Linked DNA regions of Macaca mulatta. The protein of the gene in region 2 purifies or fractionates together with the protein of the main gene of each other region. This does not show direct contact. Links are inferred from orthologs where the notes say so. Each region holds a gene or a part of one and is shown on either strand. Other genes may lie near its edges.

Region 1 (3,746 bases), on a different chromosome or scaffold from region 2:
GATTACATCTCAACATGGGATTTGGAGGAGACAAACATAAAAACTATTATCATTCTGCCCCTGGCCACCTAAATCTCACTGCAAAATATAATCATCTCTTCCCAATAGTCCGCCAAGGTCAACTCATTCCAGCATTAACTCAAAAGTCCAAAGTCTCATTTGAGACTCAAGGTAAGTTTCTTCCACCTATGTGGCCAAGGCTAAACAGTATAAACTGCTTGTAAATGCTGACAACTATGCTGAATACATTCATATGTTTCTCATTTCTGCTATTCAAACGTTTCAAAATTGAATATTACCTTTCTAAGAAAAACAATACATACATTTTAAGTACATTATAAAACCATACCTTTAAATATATGCTAATATTAAAATATAGGTGAAGCAAATGACTTCATCAAAAATAGGCCAACAGGGCCGGGCAAGGTGGCTCACGCCTGTAATCCCAGCACTTTGGGAGGCCAAGGCAGGCAGATCATGAGGTCAGGAGATACAGACCATCACGGCTAACGCGGTGAAACCCCATCTCTACTAAAAATACAAAAAATTAGCCAGGCGTGGTGGCACACACCTATAGTCCCAGCTACTCAGGAGGATGAGGCAGAGGAATTGCTTGAACCCGGGAGGCGCAGGTTGCAGTGAGCCGAGATTGTGCCACTGCACTCCAGCCTGAGCAACAGAGCGAGTGTAAAAAGGGTATGGACAGTCGCCCACTGTCACACAAAATGCAAGTTTCCTATCTGGATAATAAATGACTACTCAATTTTGCTAAGTAAGTCTCTCATCACTCAACTAGGTAAATAGTAAATTTATCCCAGCTGAGCAAGTTGCCTCACACCTGTAATCCCAGCACTCTGAGAGGACTGCTTGAGCCCAGGAGTTCAAGCCTGGGTGACATGGCAAGATCCCGTCTCTACAAAAAAAAAAAAAAAAAATACAAAAATTAGTCAGGCATGTTGGCACGGACCTTGCAGTCCCCGCTACTTGGGGAGGCTGAAACAGGAAGTTGGCATGATTCCAGCAGATCCAGGCTGCAGTGAGCCATGATCGCGCCAGTGCACTTCAACCTGAGCAACAGAGCAAGACCCTGTCTCTAAATAAAAAAACAAATAAATAAGTTTATTCCTAAGAACAACTAGAAAGGGCCAAAGGCATCCATTCTAGTCCTGGCTTAGCTACTAAAAATAGTATTAACATCTTACACGTTAGTAAATGTTGACTGCTGCGTAGAAATCAACAAGTTACCTGACCTCCAGGCTTTCCTTTCCTCCTCATAAAAAGGGAACAAAAGTACAATCCAAATTATTGAGGAGAAATGGACAAAATAAGTTAATAATGTCCGAAAATGGATGAAAGGAGGAAGTAACCTCCACAAACATCTTAAACTTTATATGAGTATAGAAAATATACAGATATGCTAACAGGATCCTGAATTGCAAGGCCACGGCACTTAAGGAACTGGAGTATGGCTCTTTTCTCCTTAACAATTTCCATTCCCATGCGTTTCCTAATTGCAAAAACTCACTGTCATCACTCCATTCACTTAACAATTGTAAACATATTTACATGAGTTAACTGCTATTTATATAGCACACGTTAACGTTTTTATGCTTTTTATACTCTTGTATGAGTTTATCCTATGAAAATCTTGCAGAGGAGCACCTTTTCTCTAATTGGTTTGCGGTCCCTTTTACCGAAAGTCCAACCCCTAACATGCTCCACTCACAAAGTTCAATTCACAACAAACGCTGACCCAAACTGGAATTTCATCCCGGGCGCTAGTATAGACTTGGCGCCAGTTTTAAAATTGGTCATGTTCAAACCTGGCAGAAAATCCTAAATGAGACAGTATGGTGGTTCAGGTGCTTAATATTTGTGATATAAGATACAATCGAGATTTTACTAGGTTTTGTTTACATTTACTCACATCGACACCGTCAAAAGCAATGTGTATTGGCATTAAGTTTGTGCAAAGGGTCACAGGATGAGAAAGGGAAAAAGAAAAGTGAAACTCGGGGATGGGCTCATACCCCCGCCTCCTGTCGGACCCACAATGCGTGCATTAAAACGCTTCGCTACAGGCAACACCGATGTACACTCGGTTGCACCAGGCTCCTCGGTGCTACCCTGAGTCCTTTCTGGAAGGAGGGAGACTCGGAGCAGGGCCGGCGCGGGTCAGGCCCTCCCAGAGGTCGAGCGCAGAGCGGGTCCAAGCCCCCGCGGCTCCTGTCGCCCCCGCCCCGGCCCGCTGGACAGCCAGGTCTCACCCGCTTCGGCGCGCTCCATGGTCGTGGCGCATGCGGGCGGCGCGTATGGGCTGGCGGCAGCGGCGGTGGCGGGCCGCAAACAGGGGCTGGAGGAGAGGTTGAGGCCAGGGCGGGGCCCGGGGCCCGAGGGTAGTGCGCTGGGCCGGGGCGGGGTCCAGCAACAGGCGGCGTGGGCCCGGGCAGCGGAGGCCAGGCCTGCGGAAGCGCGGAGCTTCCCAAGCCGCAGCCCCCGCGGCAGCAGCAGCAGCCGCCGCAGCGCCGGCATGTCAGGCCAGACACCGGAACCAACCGGAAGGGACCGACCCGAGTCGCCGGCGGTACCCGGATTCGAGCGAGAGGCGCGGCCGCGCTCGGGCAGGGCGGGGGAAACTAAGGCCGGCGACTGCGGCGTCACGGCAGCCCAGGTCGTCTCGACTCTGCAATGCAACGCTGGGTCCTGCCTGCCTCCCGAGCCCCGCGGCCTCCGACGGCCTTATAAGCCCTCATTTATATCCCGTGGCGCAGCCTTTCCTGTCCCACGCTTTCAGGGGCGAGATTGGGACTAGGATGAAAGAATTCTCTGGCCCGGTGTCTTTTGAAAACCCATGTACTTAGTTTTGCAATCAGGGTTCTGATTGCAGAATATTTGGGAATAGCGAAATGTACAAGAATGAGACCTTGTAATTCTGTATAATAAGATACTTTATTTACCTTACCTTTAAAAAATACAAATTGTGACAAAGTCTCTAATTTTTAACAATGTTATGTTTAGACATTAAGAGGAAACCAGTTGCTGGTTTTTGTAGTGTAAGGTACTGCTGTGAGTAAATTGGGAGAAAAAGCAATTTACTTAGTTTAAAAAAAAATAAAAACCTTTCACTTGAAACAGAATGCTATTGGGATTGGTTTTAGTGCAAAGAAACCAGGGGACAAAAACATTAGGTGCATCCGTCCACATATTAGCACTTTTTGTGAGTAATAACACTTCGCTTATGTTGAATGCATCCTAGAATAGGGATGGAAGAAAAGACCCCTACACAGCCACAACAGCTGGCGTAAAGGCTGCACACTAGAAGTCAGCAAACTAGTTACTCTGATTTTCAAATAATTTTAACACGTTGAGTATTTGATGCCCATTTATGGGCTGGTAGAAAAGTACAACCAGTTCCCCTAATATTTATTTAATACCTGAGCTCTGTGCTGAGAATGTGCAGGTAAGACAGGTCTTTTACTTATGGAGCTGATCATGTAATAGTGAGAGGTGACAACGTGCTAGCAGCCCTCGTGCTCTCGGCACCTTCTTGACCTCGGGGTCCACCCTGGCGGCACTTGAGGAGCCCTTCAGCCCACCACTGCACTGTGGGAGCCCCTCTCTGGGCTGGCCAAGGCCTGAGCCAGCTCCCTCTGCTTGTGGGGAGGTGTGGAGGGACAGGCGCAGGCGGGAACCGGGGCTGCGTGCTGCGTTCATGGGCCCGCGTGAGTTCCGGGCAGGGTAGACTC
Region 2 (3,646 bases):
CCTCTCCACGCCTCCCCGGCGCGCTCCGCTCTCCGGACCGCACTTACCGGGAACTCGCCGCCCGCGGGCCGGGGCTGCCGCGCTCGCAGGGTGCTGCGGGGACCCTCTTGCTGCCGCCGCCCCCGCGTCCCTCAGGCGCGCCTGGCCCGGCGCTAAGGATGAGGGGAGGGGGGCGCGCACCCTCTCCCCCTTCTACTCCCCCTGCCAGGGCCGCCCCCGCTGCCGCTCGGCCTTCTGGCGCGCCGGCCCCAGCGCCTCCCTAGAGCGCCCTCTCGGTCCCGGGCTGGACGCCGAGGGGGCGCGCTGCAGATTTGGGGATCCCGAATCTGGGGTCAGAGGGCAGTTTGACGCTCGTTTCTCCTGCGGGGCCGAAGGAGTGCCGGAATTTCAGCTAAACCCTGTTTACAAGGACTTCAAGCCGGGACCTGATCGGCTTGCACTCTGGGGTCCGAAATTCCCTTTCCAACCCCCTGGGGGTGTGTGGGTGGGTGATCGAAGTCGAGAACACCAGCGACACTTTTTTTTTAAACAAAACTTTATTGGTAATAGTTTTCAAATATGTTTACAACAGCACACTGTTCAAGAGGAAGTCTCGTCCTTCGCAGCACACAGGTTGAATCGCCCCCGCACCCACCCGGGGCCCCACCCCAGGCCTGAGAACTCCTCCTGGGATGGAGAGAAGTTATGAGAGGGGGAAATATGGGGATGAATAGGGTGGCTCCCCAGCGGCTCCCCACTTTTCTATTACGAGAGAAAAAAGCACAAATGAGACAGTGGGGGAGAGGTGATGGACAGCTGACAGCTAAGCTGGAGGAGGGGCGCCCAGGATGGGGGAGGCGGAAGCTGGTGGGTGAGTAAAACAGGCAGCCCCTCCCCAGCAGCTCTAGCCTTGAACCCCGGGCCATGGCGTTGGGGGACTTGGCCTCTTCTGTTCCCTTTTGCAGGGATGCCCTTCCCATTCAGCTGAGGGAAGACTGGACATTAAAATCTAGGGGAGAATAAAATTAAGGAGTTGGGGGAAACGCTGTTGGGAGGAAAGACTTGGGCTTGGGGCTCCCCCTCTGTCTTTTTGGGGGATGACTCCTCTTTGGCAGGGAGAGGGGCAGCTGCTTTGTCTGGCTCTCAAAGCCCAAGTGTGAAGACAGGTCTATTGGGGAAGAAGAGAGCGGAGGCTTCCTAAAGGGGCCTAGACCCTCGCAGGATTGGCAGAGGATTCCCCGGGGAGGGGCCCAGGGGAGATTAGCAGCGGGGAGGTTCAAACCCCAGCGCCTCCCTTTCCAAAGTCAGTCTGCTTCTCTTTAAAATGGATTTGGGGAATGGGGGGACATGGGAGGGGTGGGAGTACAGGAAGGAGGGAGGCACTGGTGGAACTTAAATAAGATTTTAAATTGTTGTTTTTTAAAAAAAAATTCTAGCAAGCAGCCCACTGAACATGTCACTAAAAATCTCTCCTTCCCAGTCAGGATTACTCCGAAAGGAAGGTTGGCGCTTCGTTCATTTGCCCTTAGCAAGTGGGGCCTGTGGTTGGGTGGGATGGGGGTGTGGGTGGGGGATGGAGTTAAGTGTGAGCCCCTCTTTCCACACCCTGTCCCTGGATACACCAGCAAGACCTGGTCTGACTGGAGTTGAGAAACTCGTTTAAAACAGGCAGAAGTAGGCTGGGTGGGGCTGAGGGGCTGGGGGACTGTGGGGAAGGAGGAAGGGAAAAGTGGGGGAGGGGGCAGGAGGGCAAAGGGGATGAGGGGGAGCAGCTGATATTTCTGTCCCTCTGATTATCTGGGCTTCCTGCTCCCCCTAACCCTGGAGGGTGGGGTGGGGGTGAAATTAGATGCAAGGAACTCTGGGGCCCTCTGGCTGTTCAATCCAACCCTCCCACCCCCCCACCAAAAAAAAAAAAAAAAAAAAAGAAAAGAAAATCCATGGGGGCACAGGCACACCCCTAAAACTCAGAAAACTCCTTGCCACACTTCTCATTGATGGAGACCCGGATTTCTTCTTCCTCATAGTCGTCAAAGTTACTCGTATCCCCAGGGCCTTTAAACTTTGGTATGAAGGGAGCTTCCACCTGGAGAGGGATCAAGAATCACCCAGACCTCAGCATTCAACATAATCATTATTACAACAATAAATGCGAATGGCCTAACATTCAAGAGATATTTACTCTGACTCAGGCCTGTGCTTCCCATTAGGTTATGGATTCCTCTTAACAGCCTGAAACTCTTAATGTAGCCAACTCATCAAAGGGGAAATTATTTCCCAGAGAGGCATCTGCTGCACAAGGTCATGGAATGGCCAAATGACCCCAGAATCCCATTTCTAGACCCCACTGCTCTAAGCTCTCTACTCTAGGTTGCTCCTGAACCTGTGTTCTCTTCTCTTTCTCTCTATTGGCTGTCCTCCCTGACTCGCGGCTTGCTCCCAAACCCTCAGCAGCTTAAGGAGGGGAGACCCACCTTCCTCTGGTAGATGGCGATCCAGTCAGTCGTGGCAAACCACTTGTGGTTCTTGATATCATTGACCCCATTCTTGAGGTTCCCAAAGCGCTTGGTAAGATCTACCTGCAGGAGGTTCCGCAGCAGGTCCTTCAAGTCAGAGCTGAAGTGGGAAGGGAACCGCACCTGGAGGAAGGGGTACAAGGACAGGGTGGGAAGCTGGTCTGGAACTTGGGGAGCCCATGAGGCTTCTTTCTCCATCCAACAGTCCTACTGGGTGGGGGCCTCCAAAGCTGAGTGCCTGCTGGCATCCTGTAAAACAGCTCCTTGAGCCTACACTACAGTTTCCAATTTAGGAAGTGATACTGTGGCCTGAGAATCTGCATTTCTTTAAAAACTTTAAAAATTCAAGAGCTAGTTATTTTAAGTTTTTGTAGAGACAGGGTCTCACTATATTGCCCAGGCTGGTCTAGAACTCTTAGGCTCAACCGATCCTCCTGCTTTGGCCTCCCAAAGTACTGGGATTATAGGCGTGAGCCACCGCACCCAGCAAGAATCTGCATTAAAAAAAAAAAAAAAAAAAGTCTCATTCTGTAGCCCAGGCTGGAGTGCAGTGGTGCGATCTGGACTCACTGCAATCTCCGCCTCCTGGGTTCAAGGAATTCTCCTGTCTCAGCCTCCTAAGTAGCTGGGATCACAGGCTCACGCCACGACACCTGGCTAATTTTTGTATTTTTAGTAGAGACAGGGTTTCACCATATTGGTCAGGCTGGTCTTGAACTCCTGACCTCAGGTGATCCACCTGCGTCGGCCTCCCAAGGTGTTGGGATTACAGCTGTGAGCTACCGTGCCTGGCCCAATAATCTGCATTTCTAACAAATTCCCCAGCAACGGTGATGCTGGAAAGGGGTCCCCTTTAAGAACCATTGCTCTTAAGGCAAGTGCTATGATGATTTCCATTTCAGAGAAGGGGAAACTGAGGCTTGGAAGGGTTAAACAGCTCTTCCAAGGTCACATTGAGGCATGGGATGGGGCAATTCCATCTCAGGTCTACTGGACTCTAGAACTTGTATTCTCAGTTGCTGCTGCTGCCGCTGCTGCTGAAGGCATCTCTGCTGGGGTTCAGAGACTTCTGAAATATTCATGCTTATGACAAACTTTTTCTCTCCTCTCTTTCTGCATAGCTAAGGCTCTTCCATTCTTTAAAGTGCAGC
Region 3 (3,622 bases), on a different chromosome or scaffold from region 2:
CAGCCTGGGTTAGGCTGGGGAGAACACTGTTCGGTTTGCCCGGAACACAGAGTGGAGTGGGAGGAGGCGAGATGGGCAAGGAGCCAGAGGTGCCAGCAAGGCTTGTAAACCTTGTTAGGGGCTCGGGCTTGGATCAGAGGGTAGTGGGAAGCCGCTAAAGTGTTTTGGCTGGGGGCATCTTGGTCAGAGGCAGCGATGTGGATGGCTGATGACACACCCCTGTCATCACGGGCACAATGCAAATGCCACATCCCAGCTCTGGGCCTCACTTTGCTCTTTGCTAAATCGGGAATGGCACCACTGCAAGGGCTGCTGTCCAGCAGACTGTGAGATGCTGAGCACACACCAGTGCCCACAGCCACGCTGCACGGAGGTGCTCTTCTCTGGACACCTGAGCGAGCTCAGCAGTGAGCCACGCGACTCGTGGAACCCTGGCCTGTCCCACTTGGGATTTTGGGACCTGGGCTTTGAGGCTCCATACAAAACAACAGAATCGTCAAGGTGAAATGAAATGAATCATTTAATGAGAATCTTCAAACTGCGGCACTGGCTGAGTACTAAGCAAATCCAGGGGAAGACGTGAAGCCCACCAAGGCGCACAGCCTCAGTTCCGGTGCCTGCCCCAGATCTGAAATGCGACATCCAAGAGCTCGAGGCCTTTTTACCACCCGTTTGTGGAGCACCCGCACCTTTCTGACAACAACTCTCAAGCCAACTTTCAGAGAGAAAACATGAAGGGAAAAAAAAAGATTTCCTTTGGCCAGACAGCTCTTTCTTCCTCAATAAATAGGAACCACACTTGAAACAAAGAGACAGCGTGAGCTCAGTGGGGAAGCACAAGCTTTATTGGCTGCAAGTTCTTCTCAGGAGCCTGGTCTGCTGGGACTGCATGTTCCTGGATGGGCTCCCCCGGGCCTAAGCTAGGAAAAGGAAGAAAAAAAAGGAGAATTTTAAGTCCAGTGGAGGTTTCTGAAGTAAGACCCCTGACAGAGGTAAACGCAAGACTGTTATTCTCAAAGTGCTTTCAAAGACATAGTTTAGTCAGTAAATATTTACCGAATAAAATGACGATGAGATCATACTGCATTCATTCAAGAAATATTCATCAAATGCCTACTATGTGCCAAGCATTGTTTGCTGAATTTCTTACTGGTAAAAATAGCATACAAATTTAAAACTTAGAACCCCCACTGACGACAGGGCATGATAAAACACAACTTTTCATGCACTGCTGGCAGAAACACACAACTCTCTGAGGAGGACATGTCCCCTGGTTCCCCCTGCACCTTCATTTTTCAAGAGGTCCTTTCTGGCCCTGCACCCCTCCCAACCTTCCACTGGCCTACAGTGAAGACTCAAAGGGCATACCTCCAGGTTTCCTCTGGCCTTCCGAAGGATTTTGTGGGTTACGACCACTGAGGAGAGAGCAAAGAATGCAATGATTAGGGGCACAGATGTCCAGGAGAGCCGTGTGAAAGCCAAGTGCAGGGAGGATAAGCCCCACCCCAAAGGGCTCAGACATGTGGACAACATGAGGTCTGAAGCATCCAGACCAGAGGGAGGTACCAAGGGCCCACCTGACCCATCACACACCCCAGAGCCAAATAATGCTTCAACAACACCTCTTTGAGGCCCCACTAAGCCACCACCTGACAGCGATGCAGAGACTAGAGCACGCTATGCCGGTTCACAGAAGACACCACAGCTCTGCACCGTCACCCGGCTGTCCAGGTATCCCTCAGGCTCACCTCTGTGGGCCAGGGAGGGCAATGGCACTGGGAGGGTAGAGGCCTGGGCCTGCCCAGCACTCTTGAGTTTCCTAGGCCCTGTGGGAAGCAGCTGTGGGAAGGGACTGTGCCCTGATCAGGCAGACCCACATAGGAGGGTCTAAGTTCTACAAATCCAGGTTTTTACCCAGCAGCTCTTAGAGCCAGCTCCAAATGGCCTGGAAGAAAATGCCGCGGGCATGCTGCTTCTCCTCTGCCTGCCCTTCAGCTGGTGGAATAGCCCAGCCTGGTTCCCCAGGCAAGTCACATTCTGCCTGGACAGGAGTTGGTTGGGTGGGATGGTTTCAGAGGTCCCTGCCGACGCTGACGCCCGGAGCACCGTACTAGACAGATGCCCTGTGTATCCAAATTCCCAGGAGGGGCGGGCGAGCCCTGGCTTTCAGGTGCAACTGGAAAGGTGGCTCTTCCTTCAGACTTTTTCTTGTCCAACACAAACTCCAGCAGTGGCAAGAATGCCCCTCTTGATCAGAGTTGAGCCTGACAGGGAATCTGTTCTGAACAGGGCTTGGTGAGGGTAAGGAGATCAGCTTACTCCCCATGCTGGAAACACCAAAGGCTTCTGGAGCCGCACCTTTAGCCAACAGTGCCAGAGGCTGTAACAGACTCAACGCCCAGCACACACAGCCCGGCTCCCCAGTGGCTTCTTCAGAATAGGTGTTGTGTGGTGGCCTTGAGAAAATATCGATTTCTTACCACATGAAAATTTCCATCTGGAGGTAATGGAGTTTATGTGCAATCTGTGACACTGGGGACGGGACAGACGGTGTGGACTTTGTTTTTAGCCAAGCAAAACGACTTTCAGAGGTGGCCACTGCCCCTCTACTCCCAACCTGACCTCCTGCTGCAGGGCGAAGTTCTTGACATGGGGCGCTGGATATGTTTGGGGCATCAGTCCTAAATCCTCCGACACTGTGTGCAAATGAGGGCATGTATCTGGATGTCTGCATTTTTCCACAGAGAGACCACAGCTTTCTCCAGATTCACCGAGGGGCCTGAGACCCAGAAAAGATGAAGTATCACAGCTGTGGAGGTTAAAGATGAGTGTGAAAGAGCACTCCATGTCCCTAGAGAACAAAGCTCCTGGCAGAAGAACTAAGGATCACCTGGCTCAAGCTTTGAGGGGACCCCTGCACCTCAACAGCACTGCCGCATTCCAAAGCACAGAAATCCCCGCTGCAAGGAGAAGACCGAGGAACACAGCGACAAAGGACTCGTCCCAAATCTAGACTGGCCCCAGCACAGAGATGGGACTCACACGAGGGTCTGCCCAACTCAGTCCACGGTTCTTCCCACCTCAACAGAGTGCTGGGAAGACCTGAGCTGAACAGTGTTGACCTGGTGACAGGTGGTTCCAACTGTGGCCTCACTGAATACTCCCCCACCCTATGGGGCAGAACTACTGTCCTCACTTTGCAAATGAGGACCTGAGGCTTGGAACTGAGGCACCTGGTTCCAGGTCACATGGCCAGTGAGAGGCCCCAGGGCATCAGGACTCTTAGGGTCCCACTGGGATGCCCTTTCCTTACTTTCCCCTGTAGACTCTGAGAAGGTATGGTGTCAGTTTGACCAGGTAGCAGTCAGCCCTGGCATTTGCCCTTCCCCATCACCATGAGGGGATGGAGGAAGAGGAGGTGCTATGCCAACTTTCACCTAGTCCCCTTCACAGAGCAGGTCTGTGAAGTCCGCGGGGCTTGGAGAATTTCCCAGGACCTGGCTCCTTGGGATGAGCTGCAGAGCCTGGCACAGGAGGAGCTGCAGGCCCGGGCCAGCCACCAGCTATGCTGCCTGGGGCAAGCCCCTCACCCTGCTCTGGCGGAGCCTGCTCTGTGCCAGGC

Evidence for each region.
Region 1: the proteins of PRKACA (region 2) and AKAP7 purify together in Homo sapiens (affinity purification with mass spectrometry; 4 studies listed by BioGRID and IntAct, with this or other methods). This does not show direct contact. The link is inferred for Macaca mulatta from reciprocal best matches to the Homo sapiens genes PRKACA and AKAP7.
Region 3: the proteins of PRKACA (region 2) and CDK5RAP2 purify together in Homo sapiens (affinity purification with mass spectrometry; 6 studies listed by BioGRID and IntAct, with this or other methods). This does not show direct contact. The link is inferred for Macaca mulatta from reciprocal best matches to the Homo sapiens genes PRKACA and CDK5RAP2.

What each region holds. Positions count from the first base shown.
Region 1 is NC_133409.1:36,176,862-36,180,607, reverse strand, and holds the start of AKAP7 (A-kinase anchoring protein 7), read right to left. Parts: upstream 2,545-3,746; 5' UTR 2,533-2,544; coding exon 2,268-2,532; intron 914-2,267; exon of another isoform or gene 839-913; intron 1-838. UniProt on the Homo sapiens protein: Probably targets cAMP-dependent protein kinase (PKA) to the cellular membrane or cytoskeletal structures.
Region 2 is NC_133424.1:14,678,696-14,682,341, forward strand, and holds the end of PRKACA (cAMP-dependent protein kinase catalytic subunit alpha), read right to left. Parts: intron 2,619-3,646; coding exon 2,454-2,618; intron 2,066-2,453; coding exon 1,940-2,065; 3' UTR 518-1,939; downstream 1-517.
Region 3 is NC_133420.1:37,812,617-37,816,238, reverse strand, and holds the end of CDK5RAP2 (CDK5 regulatory subunit-associated protein 2), read right to left. Parts: intron 1,416-3,622; coding exon 1,369-1,415; intron 921-1,368; coding exon 864-920; 3' UTR 503-863; downstream 1-502. UniProt on the Homo sapiens protein: Potential regulator of CDK5 activity via its interaction with CDK5R1. Negative regulator of centriole disengagement (licensing) which maintains centriole engagement and cohesion. Involved in regulation of mitotic spindle orientation.